Xenopus tropicalis: one gene and its partners. The protein of the gene in region 3 interacts with the protein of the main gene of each other region in a pairwise test. Links are inferred from orthologs where the notes say so. Each region holds a gene or a part of one and is shown on either strand. Other genes may lie near its edges.

Region 1 (5,009 bases), about 29 Mb from region 3:
AGATCTATTTAAATGCTAATTTGGAATGTTAAAACCAATATCAAAATTCAGTGCAAACTACCTTTGTATATAATTTTACCTACTTTTTAATATAATCTTTCCAAAAGTTTACATTTGTGATTATCAAATAGCTAGCAACAAGCCAATTAAGGTGCAAAAACAAGTTAGCTGTTTTTCTTTTCTTTTTTCTCAGCATACCCTGTTAGGAGTTCTAAAACTTACTGTGATTAAAAAAAATTGTCTAAAACATTTGTACAGTGCTTTGTTAAAAAAGTCAACACTAAAAACATTTCAAATGTGTATCACAGACTTTTATACAAGTACAGTGCGAATGGAGATTTTCAACAATGGGTTCCTACTGATGCAAATGTGGAAATTTCACGCCGTATTGTACTAAATGGGGAAAGTTCCAGTTCTGTAGTGTATTCATTATCATTATCGTCACTGGTTGCAGTTGAGGACTTTTGAATGCATTCATCACAGCAACAACAGCAGCACTCCATGAATGCTCGACTAAAAGGCTTGCAGAGGCAAAAAAGGAGGACAGGAGTAACACATGACTTGAAGAACAAAAGAAATTGGCTAATGAGATGAAGAAGATCCAGAGTTTGCCTTGACACGCCACTGGACATATAAGCTGCTACAATATTGCAAATATTTTCAGGGATTACACAAAATCCATATAAAATGGTTAGGGCTACCACAGTACAATTCATTTGACCTTCAAGCTGAATCTGACGTTTATTTCCTCTTGTGCAAGCTTTCTCAGCTCGTTTTATTTTTCTTGCTGTGACCAATGAGCAGGTTATTGTAAAAAGAGTAGGCAAGCAAAAATAGCAACCAAAATACCACCACAGCCTTGCACCATCATATGTAAGGGCCAACACATAAATTGTATCAGGGAGTTCAGTGGATATTTTTACAACACAGCGCTCACGAAGAAACCGACCATTCACTCCTGTATCCTCCACGGATAACTGTCGAAGGACAACTTCAGGCAGTGCTAGAACTAGCGCACCCACCCATATCACAGCCAGCTTGGCAGTTGTTGAAGTGCAGTTCTCGATCATCTCATAATACATCTGTACATTAGTGGCAGCACGGAATCGGTCAATGCACAGGGCACACAATGTAAAGGTGGTCACTCCAAGGGAAGCTATCTGTTGGGAAAAACATATTATCATTTGATTAGACTGGCCATTTGTACAGACTTTAAAATCACCAATATTCTTCATCACCTATTCATCAATAGCATTTATGCTTATAGAAACAAGTACACAGTGCCTTACCATAATATGAATAGTTATCAATCGCAAGAGATAAAGAAGGAAACATAGAATGAGAAGGCAACAAAGAAATATAATAAAATTAAGTATCACAAATATCTACTCAGTTCAGTGTCTGGATACAATACTGACGAAGGGGGGGAGTGCCCCCCAGAAACGGTGATTTTTTTTGTGGTACATTGGCATAATAAATGGGGTAAGCTCCCCAGCTGAAATTTTGCTTGAGTGCAGTCTCTATTTCTGCTTTGTTGGATACAATACTGGACATTTCTCTTCTCTATAGGTGGGTGAACATTTATTGCAATTATTTTATTGCTCCGCTGCTGGGGAGAAAAAACAGCAATGAAAACCTGAATGCCAGTTTCTAAATAAAAAAGGCACTTTAAAAAAGCTCTGCTAAAACACCTAATGAAATAATATTCAGGGCTCAGCTGTATTGTGTTAAAAAGTAAAACTAAATAAAATGCTATGTTTGCATTGCTAAAAAATATGTCCATTATTTATCAAAAAAGCATGAATCACTTGCTTACATTGGTTAAACTCCTTTAATAACCTATAGTTATATAAAAAGAAAAATAAAGACTAATTAGGTATATTCTTCTAAAACAGAAAAAATACAATAAATATTTACATGGGATTAATCAGGTGGACCTGCTAAAATCTACAGTTAGTATTGATGTTGGTATATAGGGTTAATGTATGTGAGTGTATAGATAGGTCAGTATAGGTTTGTGTGTGCTGGGTTCACTTGGAATGGTTGAACTTGATGGACTCGGTTGAACTTGATAGACCAGGTAAGGGCCTTACCTAAATGTTATCAAAAGGTAGGAAACATGGATTTGTCATGAAAGTAGTTCTACCCAGACAACGAAAAATAGCCCCTGACCACTATTTCTCCACTAAACTTTCCAGATAGCCTTACACATTCAGGCAGATAGACTGCCAACAGTTTCTTACCTTCAGAGAACCTATGTTCTATATCTATATTCCAGTGGCATAGATCAGACATTAAATAAATATTTCCATTAAGTGTAGTTCACTTTATAATGGTTGTAAGAATACTTTTTGGCCATATACTTTTGCCCATATAAGGGAGTCTAAACTTAAACATAGAAATTGATATAAATTTACTCAGTGATTCTCTGAGCACTTTTGAAATTTACAATAATTTTCTAGATATTTGAAATTTTCTAGATATTTAAAATTTTTAACCTGCTAATACCAGGCTTTTTGAGTCAAGTAAGCATCAGTAACACCAGAACGTGCATAGAAATGCATAGGTAGTTAGTCCTGCTGACACCTTTAAAGAGAGTTCTTGAGCTGACAGCCTGCTAAACTGCAAATATCTCACAAACCACTTAAAATAGATAATAAAGATAAAGTGCAAATGTGCTCAGAATATGTTTACATCAGTTTATTTTGTTGTGTTTAGTTCTCTTATCTTTTTAAACAATGTACATCATGCCAGCACCTATGTATACAGCTCATGTTCAAACATACAAAACATTGGGTACACCTAATTCCTCTGGTACATTGGATGTCCAATCCTAAATATTCTTGCTTGGTAAACTGGTCAGCTCAGGAGGATTCATTGATTCTTAACTACCTTAACACTAATTTATTCTAATAGTCTGGTCAGAAAAATCCTCTAAATGTAATATCCTTAGTGATGCCAATATAGTTCCTATAAATGAGAAATTGTTAAAATATTGGTTGGATCCCAAAAATGGGTCTCCATTAGTGTGGCTTTCCATAATCTATTTTAATACAGTGATACAGAATTTAATACTATAACCAACATTAATCAAAATAGGATAATTCATTATTTCTAAAATAATTGTTGAGTTGCAACTCTGACCCTGAGAATTAATCTGGTTTCCAAATAATTTGCAGAGTGGTGTATCATTACAAAGCAATATCCAACACTATCATAAAGAAGATTTATCTTGCAAAACAATTATACTACAAGAAAAGGTCAGGCTTCCAAAACTTCAGCCTCTCCAGACTTGTTCTCCCTGACTACAGTGTATTTATTCTATCCCCTCATGGAATGTTTGCACATGTCAGCGCCCATGCTTAACTCATCTATACCTAGGGGCTGGATTTCTTCTTAAGTTTAAACTTGTCTTGGCAATTCAGTTAATCCATTAAATTGTTTTTGCTTATTACATGGAGGCCTATTTTATGCTATAAAAGCCTTGCATTGTCAATCCTTTGAATATATAATTCCAATAAAACTTTACCAGGCCTCTCCTCCTTAGTTTTTCTTTTCTCTCTCTTGCTTGTTTAAACTTCTTTATGTTTGTATAATATTTATTATGGTAGCAGTTTTTTCACATTGAGTTGCCATCTCTAGTCTGTGACATGTTCTTAAATTGATCTGCAGTCCATTACAAACTATTAACAAAAAATTAAAGGTATGGAGTTGAGGATCTGAAAGAATGGCAGCTGCTTGGAAAAATCCATACTGACTGTAATAAGGATTAACAGCAGCTTTAGAGTTTATGCAGTAATGCCTGGTAATTGCCCTTTAACATGCAGTCAAACATACCAAAGCTTCAAAATGTAGTTTTAATTAATATTTATTAATGTATTTTGGGTACATATGATCTATAACCACCTAACAATTGTGGTATAAAGTACAAAAATATATAACTTAATTATAAGAGTTTTAATTTAAGGGATTGTATTCTTTCTTCTGCATGTACAAAAGGACATACTACATTTTTAAACACCCAAATATTTCTCAGCATGTGAATATGTTGTATTTTTATTTTTCCAAGACTGGATGGGTACTGGTTGAGGTTACTTACTATTGAGTTATTTTAGCCAAATTAACTAAGGCTCATAAGCACTAAAGTGGATGCAAAATTGAGCAAACTTTACATGCTCCTTGTAGGGATCACCAATACGCAATTAGCATATACATTGGCATAACAAGCACAAATCTTTGGTGTACACAATGTAACATGTGCCTGCAATTGCACTGGAATTCTGGGAATAAAATGCTGCATTGTGGGCAATTAATTTGCAAAAGGGCTTTGTTGACTATACATTTCGAACTGATTTTTAATTGGGTTATTATAAATGAACATATTCCCAGTGTATAAATAAAGCACAAAATGTTCAGAGGAATTTCAATGGACTAAGTCAATATCTTTGCTAACTTTTGCTATAATATATATATATATATATATATATATATATATATATATATATATATATATAGCGAGAGAGAGAAAGAGAGATTCTGATTGATGATATCAGAGGCACATCATCAGAGAGAGCAGGTCTAGCTGTTGCCGGTGGGAAAGTGTATAGAGGATGTCCAGACTAACAACATTTCTATATGTGTGTGAGACAATTTATTTTCCCAAGGGTTTGGGTAACAGGAAGACTTAATGGGTTTTTTTTTCTTTGTAGGCCAATAAACAGTTACTCTGTTCACTATAAAGAGTGCTGAAAGTATCATACAGTACAATCTTCCCATCAGGGAGGAACGGTGATTGTGCTTCTGTAACCCAGGACATTTTGCAGAGAGAATTAACTTCAGAAATTGCCTGGGCTGACTGTTTCAGGTATGCCCCTGTAGTTAAACCCCTTGTTAGGAAATTATTTGGAACATATATGATATGTAATAGGGTCTGAGCAAAGTATTTAACAGCATCAGGAAAGGAAGAGAAGAAACCCAGATGCAAGATTCAGCCAGAAATCGCATTTACT
Region 2 (5,611 bases), on a different chromosome or scaffold from region 3:
CACTATAATTTATGACAGTGGCAGTGGTTCCTGTAAAAGCAATATATAGGCTGATTTGTTTCTCACCCTAAAGGTGGCCATACACGTTCTACCCCTATCTGACGATTCAGCCCCAAACTCTTGCCTTTGCTTGGGTGCCTTCAATGGTGCCTGATCAAAATTTTCTGTCCTGCCTGATCGACAAGACCAATATACAAGGCTTTTGCGATATTGGTTAACTCATCAATCCACTATACACGCAGCAAATATTGTACAAAACCTTGTTTTGCATGATAATGTTGGTGCTTGTATGGTAACCTTTAATCTTCTTCAGTTAGAGCAACAAAACCTCCAAAAATACCATATTTTGAAGTCTATCCAAATCTCTGCCAGTAATACATATCAGTCTTGTAAATGCATGCAATTGCCTTCTGCATTCTCACATGATTATGTGATGTAAATGTTTTTCCAGCAAAGATTCAGACTAACTTTAATACAAAGGCATTTTCAGATACTGATTATTCTTTAGTGCTGGACATAAAATGTCATGCATGCTATCAGTGTGCAAGAAGAACACTGAACCACTGTCAAACCACTTATATTGTAAGTTCTGTAGGGCAGGGATCTCCTTCCTCTTGTCTCTGACAATATTTAATGTAACTGTACTTTGTATCTATGTGTATTTATTATTGCAATGACCCCTTCTTAATTAATTTATTCATTTATTATTCTACTGTACTGTTTTACACTGGAGCTGTCCTTTGCTCTTCCGCTTATGCATGCTTTAAAATACAAAACCTGCAGCTTTGGCATTTTCTAACTTCCTGCAACTTAATGGTTCATCTTTTATTATCAAAGTGTAAATCCCTGTGCAGCCACATAGGTATTGGATAGGCTTTATACCTCCCTTCAGCCTGTCCAATCCCCAAGTGGCTGTACTGAAACTTACACTGTGACCTAATGAGCTGTTAAAAATGAGAAGTTAATAAAATCATGTCTTCCCCAAATGCCACCTGTCACTCCATAATCATCCATTGTTATATATAAACCCTTTACTCTTAGCTGTTAGTAGCTAGTGTGTTATATTATTAATCATAGTGAATTGTTATAAAAAGTTAAATAGAACTCTATGATTTCTATTAGGTTGTACCCCCTGCCTAATGCAGGCTGGGTGCATTAGGGTCACAACATGCCACATACTTTGGTAAATGTAAGAATACTGGGCATCAAGCTGTTCCAAAGATGAAAATAGTAAAATGGAAATAGCAACATGGTTTTACTCTAAAGTGGACAAAACCATAACATGTTGACGGGCGATGTAAAAGTTGTAGGGATGTACCAAATCCAGTATTTTGCCAAGATTTGGCCTTTTTCAGCAGGATTTGGATTTGGGCAGATTTATGCCTCTGACCGAAGCGAATCCGATTCCTTAAAATCACGTGACATTTTGTCACATAAACATGGAAGTTGAAGTTTTTTTTACTCTGCACTTTATCCCCTCCTCGTCCTAAAATTAGGATTCAGATTCAGTTCGGTACTTGGACGAATCTTTCACAAAATTGTTCAGGGTTTGGACGGATCCTAAAATAGTGGATTTGGGCGATCCCTTAAAAAGTGCTTGCGGCTTGTAATTGTGGGCAGGGCCTATTTTTGCCACAACAAATCAAAAGCATTTTTTACCAGAATTTATGCACATAATATGAATACATACATCTTTTTTTTCTATATTTTTACTGGAACTTTAACAATTTTTCCCAAACTGAAAAATTCAGTCTATTGCCATATGCAATATAATGGAACCTATGCAGTGGAATAGTTCAATAAACATGCAAGAGCAAGTTGCTTTACAGAGTGGTCTCACGTCGTTCCTGTGGGAATACTACAGCGCGACGCCTATAGGCTGCGTTTATAAAACTGGCATAAAGGGAAGCAATTGACAAACACCTCGTTCATTCTAAATAAGCATTAACTTGTATTGGTTTCAAATTCCCTAACATTTCCTTCACATTTGTTGCAGCATAACCGCTATCCCTTCCGCGGTGCTCAGCTGTAAAACGCCGTACTGTTTTTGAAGCACTAATGTGGAAGTGTGTGACGGGACGAATCCCGAGTGGGCGTTACCCAGGACACACGCTTGTTACGCGCATGTGCGTGCTGACGTCACCCAGTCCGTGTTCCTCCCGGCCGTGACGCGCTTGGGGCATTACGCGGTTGCCGCACTGTACTGTGTGTTGAGTCAGCGGTGACAAGGAGCGCAAGGGGGGAGGCGGAGGAGGAAAGAGCCGATACTGAACTGACCATAGTAACCCGAGCCTCGGAGCCCACACCGCTAGGCTGTGCCAGCTTTGGCCCGTTCTCCCCGCTCCAGCCTTGTCTTCCAGCGCTCGCTGCCTCTTTAAGTCACCCAGCTGCCTACCTGCTGGGCCTTCATTTGACATCTCATATTCGGCCACGTAACACAAGCGGCCTCCTCTTATTTTGCGTGTTGTGGGCCAGCCGAGCGGTGAATGGCGGTAGTTACACCCGGGGTCACCATGTCCAAACACGAACAAATCCTTATTCTTGACCCGCCCAACGAGCTGAAATTCAAAGGTAACGGGACGTATCTGGTTATGTGGTTCCGGGATGTGAGGCCACAATGCCCCGCTTTCCAGTTGTGTCTTGCGGGGAAAAGGCCTCTGATGGATGGAGAGAGTGTGGAGATTGCTGTTGCCTCTGTTGTGGTGAATCGGGGTGGCTAATCTCTGTCACATTGGTACTGGCAGCTGCACTCCTATCCACCACTGGAGGGCTGCAGCTTGGCCCTTTAGTCTATGGCACTGAGACAGCCAGTGCTAGCTGCTTACAGTGTGCTTTGTTTTACTTCTAATACTAACAGTGACAGCCTGAATAACACGTGATTGTACAATACCAGCAGATTTCACAATGCTGTACAGTAGAAGGGTGTATACATCAAACATACATTACATGAAATGTTTTAGTAAGTGTTAATTGGCCCATGATTCCCACTCTTGCAGCTCTAAAGCAATAAGTAAATATTATTTGACTTGTGGTGTTCAGGTGTGATTGGGCATTACATTGTAAAATACACTGGGGCAGGGATTTATGTGAATCATATATAATCAATGTAAAATGATGTGGTGTTCGTTGTTGCTATATAAATACAGGGTTGTGTGTGTGCTCAGAGCAGTCATGTCAGTAGCCATAGATTGCTTGGGCAGCTGTACAGAAAACTTGTTTAATGTTCAGGATTTAATTTAAGTATTGTTAGATTCACATAAGATGAAAGTGTGCACAGGCAGACTGTTGTTCCTGACAAGGCAATTAGTATAGTTGGCCATACATGGGCAGGTTTAAACTGCTGATTTGGTCCCTTCAGAACATTTTATCTGCCCATGTATGGGTCCTCCTGTCAGATTGCCCAGGTATCTATCAGGCAGGAGTAAATGCCTATTGGGGCATGGGTTACATTGCCTCATTTATGCAGTCCTCTCCTGGCCGCCTGTATCATTAGCCCGAAGATCAGTCCAGTATGGCCCAGCATATAATTGGCTTGTAAAGCGAAGTACCACACCAGCGCCTGCACATATTGGTAGCCTTCTTGGGAACTAAATGAACTCTCTGAAAACTGGCATTAAACAAGCACATAGGTGCCCATATTGGGCACAGAGCTGCTCATTTGGCAACCTGGACAAATGAGTGAATCTTCTTGTGTATAGCCACCTGAATACTGTGATAGGAAATATAAGGTGGGTGAGATCTTACAATTTCAGATCAATAATACAAGTGAAAGGATGAACTCTAAGCAGGTTTCAAGGACAACATTTATTTTTGGCCACCAGGTCTCTCTGTTTTAGCCTTAGGTATCCAGGTGTTGTGGGGTGTCAACTCCTTTAATTTCTTAACATATAATCCAAAATCCAATTAAAAGCATACTGAGAAAATAGGTTTCAGGCCACAAAACTGTTTTTAAACTGACTCAAACCACACAGATTTGCTGTCCCTATAGTGTGTTTGTGTGGTGGTGTTTTTTTTTTTTTTTTTTTTTTGGTAATCCTGAGGGAACTTTGGACTCTTACCAGTACAGTATTTCTCTGTTGCAGGAATGTCCCAGAATCCATTGGTTCTTTTTTTTATTTCTCCTACGCCTCACCTGCTTTTTATAAGCAATTTCACAATTTCTCTGCCCATTTGAAACATAATTGCCTACATTAAAGTTAAGATTACAGAAGGTTACAGGTGTTTTAAACATTACTGTTATTGCCATTTTTAAATCTCCTTTACAAACATTGTAATGTAAAATTCTGTCACTACAGGATCTGCTCCTACGAATGGGGAGCAAGGAGTTGAGGTATGTCAGGTTTACAGGTTTTAAGTAAAGATATGCTTTGGATCAAATTTTTAGTTTGGTCAGACCATCAGTGATCCAAAGGATTGCAGAAACATCCTAGGTGACATTTAGGTGCAGGCAGAAAAAAAAACACCCAATCTGGTCATAAATGTCCAATTTAATTCTATAAACTAAGCCAAAAACCTGTGCTTCTCTATTTTCTTTGTTTTCTTATTTTGCACTTCACAAACATGTACCAAGGAAGTAGCAGTCCTTATTGTCATAAAAAAAAAAAAAATCTAAACAATTTATTTTTTAATTTTTATTATTCACCTTTCATGAGAAACTCCACTACAGAGCTATACTAATGGCATCATGTGGGAGCACAAAATTGCACTGCAAGGCTCAGAAGGTTTGTCTGAGACTTGCAGGGATCTGGGCAAATCCTGAATGGACTACTGAGTTTAATGTATTCTTAATCTAATGGAGCAGGTATTCATCTGACAGACACTGGGGAAACAACTTTTGTCTGTGGTCACCCAGTAACACAATAAGAAATGTAGTAGTAAGGCATTTGTCATAAGCCCAGTTATGAGTTTAGTTTTCAGGTATTACTGGATTTTGTTTCAGCATGGGGATGTCAAAGCTTTATATGCAGGTATTTGCGCTTTTATTCCAATACCTGTTATCCAGAAAGCTCTAAGTTAGGGAAGACCATCTCCCATAAAGTCTATTTTAATCAAATATTTTTTAAACGAATTTCCTTATTCTCTGTAGTAATAGGACAATGCTGTGTTCTTGATATCTTAGAAATAAAAAGATATTTTTTTTTTATTGCAAGGTCATTGTGACTTAAAAAAATGGAATTCCCCGCCGCAGCTGTGGTTTGCAAAAGCAGTACTGCCGAGTACTGTTGGGGACTACACCATGTGCCTATTCCTCATGCAGGCAGCCATGTTGGGGCACATGTATGTACAGACTGTCCTAGGTCTGGGACACTTGTTTTCTAAGGGTATGTTCACCATCCCAATTCAGGTTTAGACATATGCACATGCACATATTGAATATATTTACTCTTGTAAATATCCTAATTTGCTCCCTGGTGGGTGCCTAACATATAGGCTACCTCAGTGTTAGTAGCTTTCCTTGTGCTTTTTTTTTTTTTTTTTCTTTTTATGGTTTTTTGGTGTAACATTTTTCTCTGTTGCACACAACCCAAGCATGTTAACAGTTTGGAGTCTCATCCAACTAGGTTTCCATCTTGAGTGAGCAACTGTGGCGTGACTATACAGTGGCCCCAGA
Region 3 (5,632 bases):
AGTATGACTTGCACCTGTTCTGGTTCATGTCAGGCTTTGACAGCACAAGGATACTCCGATCCAACCACCAGGGAATGGGTTATTTTCTTTTACTACTTTCTTTAAACAGCCAGCCTAATATGCACTCATTAGACTACTCCATAACACTAAAAATAAATTGCACTATGCAGCAGCTTCCGTAGGAGCCCTGTGACCGCTATAGGAATCTGAGGCTGCTGAGAGTAAATCTTTTCCTAAGTCACTAGTATTTCCTACTCAGCGACCAAACCAACCTAGCGCTTAAGGAATGCCGTGCGTTCCCCTATTGATAACATGTCAAGTAGCATGCACTCTGACATATGGTAACCCTACTGCTGAACATATATTGATCTCCTTTGAGAATCACCTTAAATGCATAAAGGTCAACAGTATTTTGTGATCGCTGAACGGTAAACACACTAATGTTTTAGGCAATTCTTATCTGCAAATCTCTAAAAAACAAGAGAGGGGGTGGGGGAACACACAAACACAAGCCAGATTAATAAATAGCACAATGACCTTTAATAAGAGCAACATACAATACTGTAAGGCTTGGAAATGTGCAAAAGAGCTGATCTGCTAGTGACCCTGTGAGCTGCGCAGAGGAAATGTATGGAACAGACATGCCTTGTGCGATAGGGAGAACTCAGCCTGTCCAGCAGGGCGTATTAAAGTGATAGACCATAATAATTTGTAATGTCCTGTGTCTGTAGCCTATCAACTATTTTGTTTTTATATTCTTATTTATGAATGAGCCTCTGCTTTACTTCCTTCGTCTGTGGTTTCCTAGTTTATGCCTAAACATACCCCATTAAATCTATACTGAGTAGAATCATTGAAGAGACAAGAGGAAACAACCCGCAAGCTTGTCTTTAAGTGCTGCTGAACTACAACTCTCAGAATCCTACCACTGTCATGGGCAACTGCTGAGCACTGTAGTGCAGTCACATCTGGAAAGCCCCATATTTTGCTCATAACCCAGAGATAACTGATTAATTACCCTGACAGGACTTGGTTTCAGCCAGAGATCAGACACTACAGAACAGCAGTAGGAACATCTGTTCTGCCCCATCTAGGAGACAAGGACTCATTTATCTCGCAAATAGGGATCTAGGAGGCTGGGCTCACCGAAAAAACAGATTAGTTTGCCATCAAGAAGGGGATGGGTCCTCCACTCAACTTTGGACTTCACTGCTAAAATTAGATGAACTAAGTTAGACCTTTAACCCTTCTATCCTTAAAATACACTTTTGGTTAGAGGCTCCAGTATACGTGACAGTCACTGCAAATGTCAAATTGCTTATAAAAAGTGCCACTTTCCAACCTGCAACAGAGGGGTTAAAGGGGAATGCAAAGATTGGCACAAACCTAAAAGGGTGGCTGGAAATGTATTGAGTTAGCTCTGCGACTTTTTTTTTTTTTTTTACTGCATTTCCTCCCTGAGAAACCATGAAAAAAAAGAATTTATTTACAGGTGCAAAAGTACACAATGGTGGTAACTATAGCAACTATTCTGATATTATTTTACATGGTTTCACAGCAGCTTGCAAAACACGACCAACCAAAGCTGGTTGCTATAGGTTACTGCAATTGTGCCTTTTTGCACCTATGCTGAATGACCCCCAAGGGTCTCTCCTGGTTGCAACACACAGTTTTCATCAGTCTTATACAGAATATACGTTTTCCTATCTCTCACAACCCAACTTTTGCAATTTCAAAAGTTCAAAATATTAAGCTCAGCACATTAACCCCATCATTACTCAGGAGAGCTATCTCAAGGAAAGTAGAATTAACCCTGTCCCTTCCGCCAACAGCAGCTGTTTTTTGTATTATTAAGGGGTAGAAAAGGGGGGAAAAAGCAAGATTTTTTTTTTTTAAGTTTCAGAATTCTTGAACTTAGAATTCAATTTTTTTTTAAGGGTTTGAGGTAGATTTTTCTTCAGTAAAGTACACAGGGCAGCAACATAAAAATATAAAAGCCATTACATTATAACAAAAGATCTCTTACCTTAATTTAAGAGGAACTGAAAATAGACAGAAATGTACATTTTCTCATAATAAATTTATACATTCTGCAAGACATGGGCACTGCCCTTCTGCAAAATATACATATATAATATACATATAAAAACATTTTCCTTTGTATTATACATTCGGATATCTGGTTGACCCTTGTATTGCAATAATCCAGTTTGTTGTAATAGTTCAAATATTAAAAAAAAATCGACAATCCTATAATAAGCAATCATGCGTGTTATGATTCTTGCCCAGTGGTTCCAAGCTAAAATCTAGAAGAGTACCTTCACAGTTCAAAAGGGAGGGATTGGGAGTTTTCTCCTCTTTAAATAAAACTTCACAAGTCCTGTCTTTAGAATACTGACAAGGTTCTGTGTCTTCGTTGTATGCACTGTTCCCATTGCTCTGGGGGTACCCATTGGCATAGGCTTTGGAGCCCGGTTTCCTTAAGCACAGCAGCTCCTGAAAAGTGTATCTGAAATCTGGGCTCCTGCAGTAGATTAACGGGTTAAAGGCAGAGTTGACATATCCCACCCAGTTCAAGAAGTTGTAAACTTTGACAGGGATAAAGTCTTTGTGCATCACCTGGACAATGTTGACTATAAAAAAGGGGAGCCAACACAAAGTAAAAGTGCCCATTATTATCCCCAAAGTCTTCAGTGCCTTGTGCTCCTTCAACCAAAACTTTGAGGTCCTTTTATTTCCTTGCTTACCATTGGTGTCCTGTTGGTTATTCTGGTTGTGGAACCTTCCCTCGCTTTTGTCTATTTTCTTTAGTTGTTTTTTGGCCTCCTGGAAGACCCTTGCGTAGACAAAAATCATGACCACCAGAGGTAAGTAGAAGGAGATGATGGAAGAGGAGATGGCATAAGCAGGGTTGGTGAAGAAAAAACAACAGGAGGGGTCATCATAGCAATGCAAGGCACTCTCCTCCTCTATCCTATACCAGTGCATGTAGATGGGGAGGAAAGAGGTAAGTGTGGACACCACCCACACCAGCAGGATGACAATCCTGGCTTTGCACTTGGTCAGGAGGCTCTGATACCTGAATGGAGAGGTAATGGCGAAGTACCTATCCACTGCAATGACGCAAAGGGTCTCTATGCTGGCAGTGACGCAAAGGATATCCACTGATGTCCAGAACTCGCACCAGAAGTTATTGAAAACCCAAGTGTCCAGGATGATGGAACTCGCTCCGAAGGGCACCACTATCAGCCCCATCAGCAGGTCCGCACAGGCTAAAGACGTGATGAAGTAGTTGGTGACCGTCTGCAGCCTCTGGAACTTGGCTATGGCAGTGATCACCAACACGTTGCCGAGCACAATCACCAACACGATGCAAGACATGATTATGCCCATGCCCACCATCCACGCATCCCCGGGCTTATCGCTGGCGTTGCTAGTGTTGGAGACGTTGGAGACCAGCTGTTCGAGGGTGCTGTTAGGGTAGGGGCTGGCGGTGACCCGCTGTTCCATAGCTTTGCAGTCCCTTTGACTTTACTTCCACTTGTTAGGAGTCGGTTGGGTGTGACACGCAGCGCTGAAAGTACTCCTGCCCCGCGTATATCCAGCGCATTTAGCCATGGGGGAGGCGGAGTTGCCCGGTGTCGTTCATTTGTGCCCGTCCTGTTTGTGGGGCGTTAGACATGGAACTACCTCTCTCTCCTGAGAGTCTCTTCTGATTCTGGGCTGTGGGCTCGCCTGCTTTCTTTTATTAACACCCGCCCTTACGTCACAACGGGCTCCAGCCAATCCCCGGAGAGCAAGAGCGGGATACCGCGTAACACCGGCTGGTCGCTGCCTTTCTCTTTTCCTTTCGGAAGTTGCCTGCGCTAATAGTTAGCTGCGCTATACTGCGCTATACTGCACGGCGGATCAAACGGTGCCACTTACAGGCTTTAAGCAGGGTGGGCTCGAAGTTGCACGGCAGTGCATCTAATCAGTTGCTGATGTACAAGTACAGCCCCTGGTATCCCCCGAGAGTTCGAATTCTACAGCTACTGGGGCTGACTGGACATTACTGGACTCTTTCTGCGATTGGCAGATGTTTAGCTATGTCCAAAGTTTGATGTTTAGGTACAATTCCCACCATTGATTAGTTGGATAGCTTGTGTTACATATCCCCCTGCTTTAGGGTGAAGACACACAGAGCTACTAGTCGCAGCTTCTTTTTCACAGCTACTAAACGCCAGAAAATACCCTCCCATGGACAATACTGAGAATTGCCTCTGCTAAAACACAGGTACAGCCAATTATCAGTAAATGATCAGCATTGTCTACTTTAGTATATATACTAGTAGCTCTGTGTGTCTTCACCCTTAAGCGTCACATAACCAGCTACTACTTGTATTTTATTTATGATTTATTTCTTGTCATTCTTTTGCCCAGTGTATCTGATATCTGTGCAACACCTATTCTGCATTGCAGAGGCTATTGTGGCACTATGCGCTAATGGGTAAGGGCAGTGAACAGAATAGGAAACAACGTCAATCATTTAAACACTAAAAACAGTCAGAACTGTAATTTATGTACAGAGTTGCAGCTATGAAGGCATGCTGCAACCAGCTAACCCATTCCCAAGGGCAAAGCAATAATCAGAGCAGGGAGGGTGAAGACTATGGTGGCCCCATACTGCTAATTGTTGCACCTCTGCTTTCTTCTAATTGTTGCACTGCAGCCAAGAGCAGAGCCCATGGGCATATACTGTATGTATGGGAAGAAAAGAAGTCGGCAATAAACCTTCGGACTATGTATAGTAATTGTATCTACAGCTGTCATAAAAGATATGTTCAAATTCTTCTTCAGTGCAGAGTAAACTTGCAAAAAGTACAGAGAAAATAGAGCTGCTATATTGTATGTGAGTGTACTGAAATAACTTGCCACCTAGGTAATTATTAAGTGAGAGTTTTGCTTTTGGCACATATTAGTGGTACCAGGGGGGCAAGGGGCTACTTAGATCACCCCATTGCCGTAGTAGCTTTTGTGGTGATGTGGCCCAAAAAACTCACTCGGCAGGCCTTTCAGCTGTTGTTGAACTACAGGTCCCAGAACACTAAAGAATTCCCCCCCGTATTCAACGGTCATTGGGTGCTGGGAGTTTAATAGCAAAAAAAAGGCTCATCTTGCTTTACTCCCCCTACTATAAGCAGCACTTCCTGCCTCCAGTCCGGCTTGGTGGTGGACAAAAGATGGACCCTGGAAGTCACCCTTTTTTGAATCCCCCAAAGCTCTGCCGATAACAACCGATGAGAATCAGCCAGCAGGCAGCTGTAACTTATGTGTACAGTACAATGCTATGGGAATAGCAGGGGGAAAGTGAGTAACTCTTGTTGTAAGTACACATTTAATTAATTTATTGCAATGGCAGGGTTTTTTGGCTCCATTTCAGCCTCCTTACTGTAATGTCTCTGCGTCTTGTACCATGTTGTTTCTCTGTTGCTTTTTACCATTGTGCATAAGATATATACCATTTTAATGTATAAATAAAATATCATAGCCTTCTGTCTTGCATTATCATTTTATATAATGTGGTCTCTATGCCATTTAGTCCATGTGATCCTCTTTAACCAGTGGCAGAACTATTTAGGGGGCAGCAAGT
Region 4 (5,009 bases), about 100 Mb from region 3:
TTGCAGCGCAGCAGTAAAGTGTGCCTGAGTCTGAGCTTTCAAAAGGTATCACAAAGAGAAAGGAAAGGGCAGCGAGGCATAGAGGAATGATTTGCCGTTGCTTTCCTGCGCTGCTGCGTACCTGACAAAGGCCGGGAGATGTTCTCTGGAGGCTTCGGGTGCATCAGGACAAAGGGCAGCTCTACGGCCACGTCGCTGTAAGAGATCCACACAGACTTAATAAATACATCATTATATTCACATATTATTATGGGCATACAGACTTTCACATAAGTTACCCTATTACTCTCCTCATTAAACATGTGGCATCACCTAAAAGCCTATCCAGCACAGCCAATCACTGGCAAGCATTCTTACAGAGCCTCGTTATAAAGGGGCGGTTCACCTTTAAGGTAACTTTTAGTATGTTACGCAATGGCCATTTCCAAGGAACTTTTCAATTGGTCTTCATTATTTATTTGTTACAGTTTTTAGAATGATTCGACTACTTCTTCCAGCTCTTTGCCGTTTTTAAATGGGGGTCACTGACCCCGGCAGAGAACAGACTACTACTAATTGCTATTGTGACTTTTTGTAACTTTCTTTTCTATTCAGCACCTCCCCTATTCATATACCAGTCTCTCATCCAAACCACTCCCTGGTTGCTAAGGTAACTTGGACCCTAGCAACCAAATAGCTGCTGAAACCCCAAATTGGAGAGCTACTGAACTGAAAATGATATTAAAAAAAACCACAAATAGTCAAAAAATGAATGTCTCAGAATATCGCTCTCTACATCAAACTGGACTAAGTCTTATGTAGAGAGCGATATTCTGGGACACTTTGCAACTGTTGTTCATTTTTTGACTATTCGTGGTTTTTTTTTTTTTGTTCAATTATTTTACTTTTTTTTCATCAGCTCTCCAGCTTGGAATTTCAGCAGCTATGGTTACTAGGGTTCAAATTACCTTAGCAACTAGGGAGTGGTTTGAATGAGAGACTGATATATCTATAGGGGAGGGCCTGAATAGAATAAAAAGTAACAACAACAAAAATACTGCAGCCTCACAGACCCATAGTCTGTTGGGATGTTGGGGTCAGTGACCCCAGTTTGAAAGTCAAAAATTAAATAATGAAGACCAATTGAAAAGATGCTTAGAATTGGCCATTCTATAACATACTAAAACTTACCTTAAAGTTACCCCACTTGTGTTTATCGTCCACCATTTATCCCTGTTGAAATGAATACTTACCCCCCACGCGACACTACCAGTTTTACTTTCACCCTGTAGGACACCAGGATCCCCAGCACCTCCTTACTGGATCCTTCCTTCACGCTGCGGAGCAAAGAGAAGCCCATGTGATACACAGCGCTTGACATGTACATAATAAGCCAATAGCGAGGGGCTTAGCCACCTACATGGTACTCGACGCCAGGTTCGTGTCCTCGTGTTTCAGCTTTCCATCCAGTGCCAGCCCCCTCTTCTCCCGATTATTGGACAGCAGAGGAGTCAGGGTGTAAACTTTACAGAACGTGGAGCTGGGGGTCACCTGATCACTGGGGGACACAGGGAAAGAGTGGTCGGTAAGTGACAGACCAAGGCAGACAAAAAGGTAAATGGCACTTGGCAGAGAATAACCTTTAGTATAACGTAGACGGTGATATTCTGAGACAATTTGCAATTGGTCTTTATTATGGATTTTTTTTTTTATAGTTTTTCAGTTATTTAGCTTTTTTTTCCATTTTGGCATTTTAGCAGCTATCTGGTTGCTAGATTCTTATCTTACCTAGCAACCAGGCAGTGGTTTGAATAAGGGTAAAGACACACGGAGCTACTAGTAGCAGACAATACTGATCATTTACTGATAATTGTCTCTACGTGTGTTTTAGCAGAGGCAATTCTAAGTATTGTCTATGGCAGGGAATTTTCTGGAGTTTAGTAGCCATGAAAAAGTAGCTGCTTATAGTAGCTCAGTGTGTCTTCACCCTAAGGGTAAAGCCACACGGAGCTACTAGTAGCAGCTACTTGTCACAGCTACTAAAATAGTCAATGCTGATCATTTACTGATTATTGTCTCTATGTTTTAGCAGAGGCAATTCTCAGTATTGTCTATGGCAGGGGATTTTCTGGCGTTTAGTAGCCATGACAAGTAGCTGCTACTAAGTAGCAATTACTTCTTGTGGTTACTAAAACAGACAATGCTGATCATTTACTGATAATTGTCTCTACGTGTGTTTTAGCAGAGGCAATTCTCAGTATTGTCTATGGCAGGGGATTTTCTGGCGTTTAGTAGCCGTGACAAGTAGCTGCTACTAAGTAGCAGTTACTTCTTGTGGCTACTAAAATAGACAAAGCTGATCTTTTACTGATAATGTTCTCTACATGTGTTTTAGTAGAGGCAATTCTCAGTATTGTCTATGGCAAGGTACTCTCTAGAGTTTAGTAGCCATGAAAACATAGCTGCTACTAGTAGCTAGTGTGAGCTAGTGTGTCTTCACCCTACTGGAATAAGTATAGGAGGTAGACTAAATAGAAAGATAACTTATGAAAAGTAACAAAAATAAAATTGTAGCCTCTGAGAGCAATAGTTTTTGGCTGCCGGGGGTGAAACATGGAAAGAGACAGAAGAGGAAGGCAAATAACTCAAAAACTATAGAGAATAAATAATGAAGACCAATTGCAAAGTTGTTAGGAACAGGGCATTCTATAACATACTAAGAGTTGTTATACAATGATCCCAGCTCAGAATCACCCCCATTCAAAAAGGGGGCCATGATTGAAATAAGGGGTTGACATGGACATTATACATGGGGGGGGGGGGGGGGGGGGAGTTGGACATTGACAAAGGCAAACTCTGTATGTGGAAGAGGAGGTGAATGAAAGAGGAGATGAATGGAAGAGGAGATGAATGGAAGAGGAGATGAATAGAAGAGGAGATGAATGAGAGGTACTTACTCCTGTTCAATCTGAGCCACCGGGCACTTGTACTGGGCAGTGCTGAACAGGCAGATGTCTGCATACTGTCTGACTGCGAGAGATAAAGGGGGAATGAGTATAACACATATATACTGCTGCACCCAGCCCCGGCACCTGTATACTAATATTTCTATGCATGTCTGTGGCCTACATTAAAGGCAAGAGCAGCAAGAACTTACCTGACACTTTCACCCTCTTCACAGTCTTGCTGGAGTTGTTGGTCACGTGCACATTCACATTTATTGGCTCTCCATGGTAATAGAGCTGTGAGCGGAAGGGGAAACAAAACTTAATGGGGTTGTTCACCTTTGTACAACATTCACATTAATCATTATACATAGTTAACCAAAAAATGTGCAGCTGAAGAGAGATTCACCTCAGAATCATCCATCACTGCTGCACAGACCCTGTGCTGGGGGGTCAGTGACCCCTATAAACACTACAGTTGCTTTTTTTACTTCCTTATATGATGTCGCACATAGTCCTGGCAGCAGGCTTAACGTCTATTGGCTGTGCCTCCTGTCAGTCTGACACTGCTTCCTGCTTTTTAGCAGTATGTGCCATTGGGTAATCCTAAATAGAAAACTGCCATTTTAAGTACTAAGGGCCGCCCCCTGGGATCATAGGATTCACAGTGCACACACACAAGCCAAGGCACACATACATGCTAGGCCCCTACAGCCAATGAATGGGCAGAGTTCTGTCTCTTACTCCCACACTACTTCCTGTTACAGTTAGAGCTGCATCACTTCCTGTCAGCTGATCTCTGAGGGAGCACACAGCCCATCACTAAATGGTGGTTCAAGGGAATGGATGACCAGTTGTGCTGGCCAAGATCCAGAGTACTCATAGCAGAACCCCTGGGCCATTCGGCTATTCCCTACACTAGTTGCTTAGTAATTATATTATAATGGTAGGGAAAAGGAAGATATAAGGATGGTCGTGGCTAAACAGCCTGAGAGATCATGGCAACATAGGCAAAACTGAAACTGCAAGCTGAGCTGGTATAACTCCTTTCACAGACACAGCATTGACTTCAAACGAGGAAATGCATCAGCATCATCATTTCCTCACACCCCTAATGAGTGTGTTTGCACCCAGCAAACCTACCTCTTTATCTAAAGATGCTTCTAGATGCAGGGAGCGGTCGGACATCAGGAAATGCCGCGTTGTCTCAGCTACTGGCTGGGGTCCGGGCTTCTCTGGGGCAAACTGCACCTTTCTAATAACCAAACGTACAGAGTTCCTAAAGGGAAAAAGAAGACATAGGGCTCAGAGAAGCACAAGAGAAACCCCATCAAACCCCAATTTGCCCTGCTACAAACAAAGGACAAGCAGACCAATTTCAGTGTAAATGGGAAAAAAAAACACAGAAAATCAGAATGAAGGAACAGTGGCAGAGGCTACACTATAGGGGACAGGAATGACTTACCCTTTAGGCAGCCATACACACACACACTATATATATATATATATATATATATATATATATATATATATATATATATATGGTAGCCCAGTCAACAGAAGAGTAACCATACTGTGTAGGCCCCGTAGCCAATAAGCGGCATACTGTACTACAGGGTATGGCCACTTTATGGCACACAGTGAGTTAATGGCATTGCTGCTGAGAAAGCATCTTTACGCTGCAGTCCCATAGCTACTGCAACACCCATCTCCCTTAGCCACTTGTGTAGCAACTGCTGCAGTGCCTCGAACTGGACTTCCCTACAATCCTCTCAATATTCAGGCACATTTACAAGCACCATACAAAATGCAAATACCCTCTGTACACAGGGAAAATCACATTTGCATTGGTTTTTTCCCCGGAAGATGGAGGGCAGGCCCAGAGTAATGAGTAAAGCCGGCCATACATGTACTGGTGATTTTTGGACAGTGTGTGGGCTCAGAATCATCACTGGAATGTATTGTGTATGGTGCAATATCCTTGGGGGGCCTACAATGGGAGTCACTTTTGTATGATCACAAACATCCTCCCATTTGTACTGTAAAGGGCTTTATCCTACAATTTCAGTTTGAAATGGTTGAGTT

Evidence for each region.
Region 1: the proteins of adrb2 (region 3) and gpr37 interact in a protein complementation assay, tested with the Homo sapiens proteins (2 studies listed by BioGRID and IntAct, with this or other methods). The link is inferred for Xenopus tropicalis from reciprocal best matches to the Homo sapiens genes ADRB2 and GPR37.
Region 2: the proteins of adrb2 (region 3) and vapa interact in a protein complementation assay, tested with the Homo sapiens proteins (2 studies listed by BioGRID and IntAct, with this or other methods). The link is inferred for Xenopus tropicalis from reciprocal best matches to the Homo sapiens genes ADRB2 and VAPA.
Region 4: the proteins of adrb2 (region 3) and arrb2 interact in binary tests that used the Homo sapiens proteins (3 or more experiments, as listed by UniProt). The link is inferred for Xenopus tropicalis from reciprocal best matches to the Homo sapiens genes ADRB2 and ARRB2.

What each region holds. Positions count from the first base shown.
Region 1 is NC_030679.2:70,502,019-70,507,027, forward strand, and holds part of gpr37 (prosaposin receptor GPR37), read right to left. Parts: intron 1,161-5,009; coding exon 342-1,160; 3' UTR 1-341.
Region 2 is NC_030682.2:104,672,928-104,678,538, forward strand, and holds the start of vapa (vesicle-associated membrane protein-associated protein A), read left to right. Parts: upstream 1-2,219; 5' UTR 2,220-2,513; coding exon 2,514-2,571; intron 2,572-5,611. UniProt on the Homo sapiens protein: Endoplasmic reticulum (ER)-anchored protein that mediates the formation of contact sites between the ER and endosomes via interaction with FFAT motif-containing proteins such as STARD3 or WDR44.
Region 3 is NC_030679.2:41,026,586-41,032,217, forward strand, and holds adrb2 (beta-2 adrenergic receptor), read right to left. Parts: upstream 3,721-5,632; 5' UTR 3,511-3,720; coding exon 2,251-3,510; 3' UTR 520-2,250; downstream 1-519. UniProt on the Homo sapiens protein: Beta-adrenergic receptors mediate the catecholamine-induced activation of adenylate cyclase through the action of G proteins. The beta-2-adrenergic receptor binds epinephrine with an approximately 30-fold greater affinity than it does norepinephrine.
Region 4 is NC_030679.2:142,396,325-142,401,333, forward strand, and holds part of arrb2 (beta-arrestin-2), read right to left. Parts: intron 4,204-5,009; coding exon 4,068-4,203; intron 3,222-4,067; coding exon 3,137-3,221; intron 3,010-3,136; coding exon 2,937-3,009; intron 1,538-2,936; coding exon 1,400-1,537; intron 1,317-1,399; coding exon 1,233-1,316; intron 196-1,232; coding exon 122-195; intron 1-121. UniProt on the Homo sapiens protein: Functions in regulating agonist-mediated G-protein coupled receptor (GPCR) signaling by mediating both receptor desensitization and resensitization processes.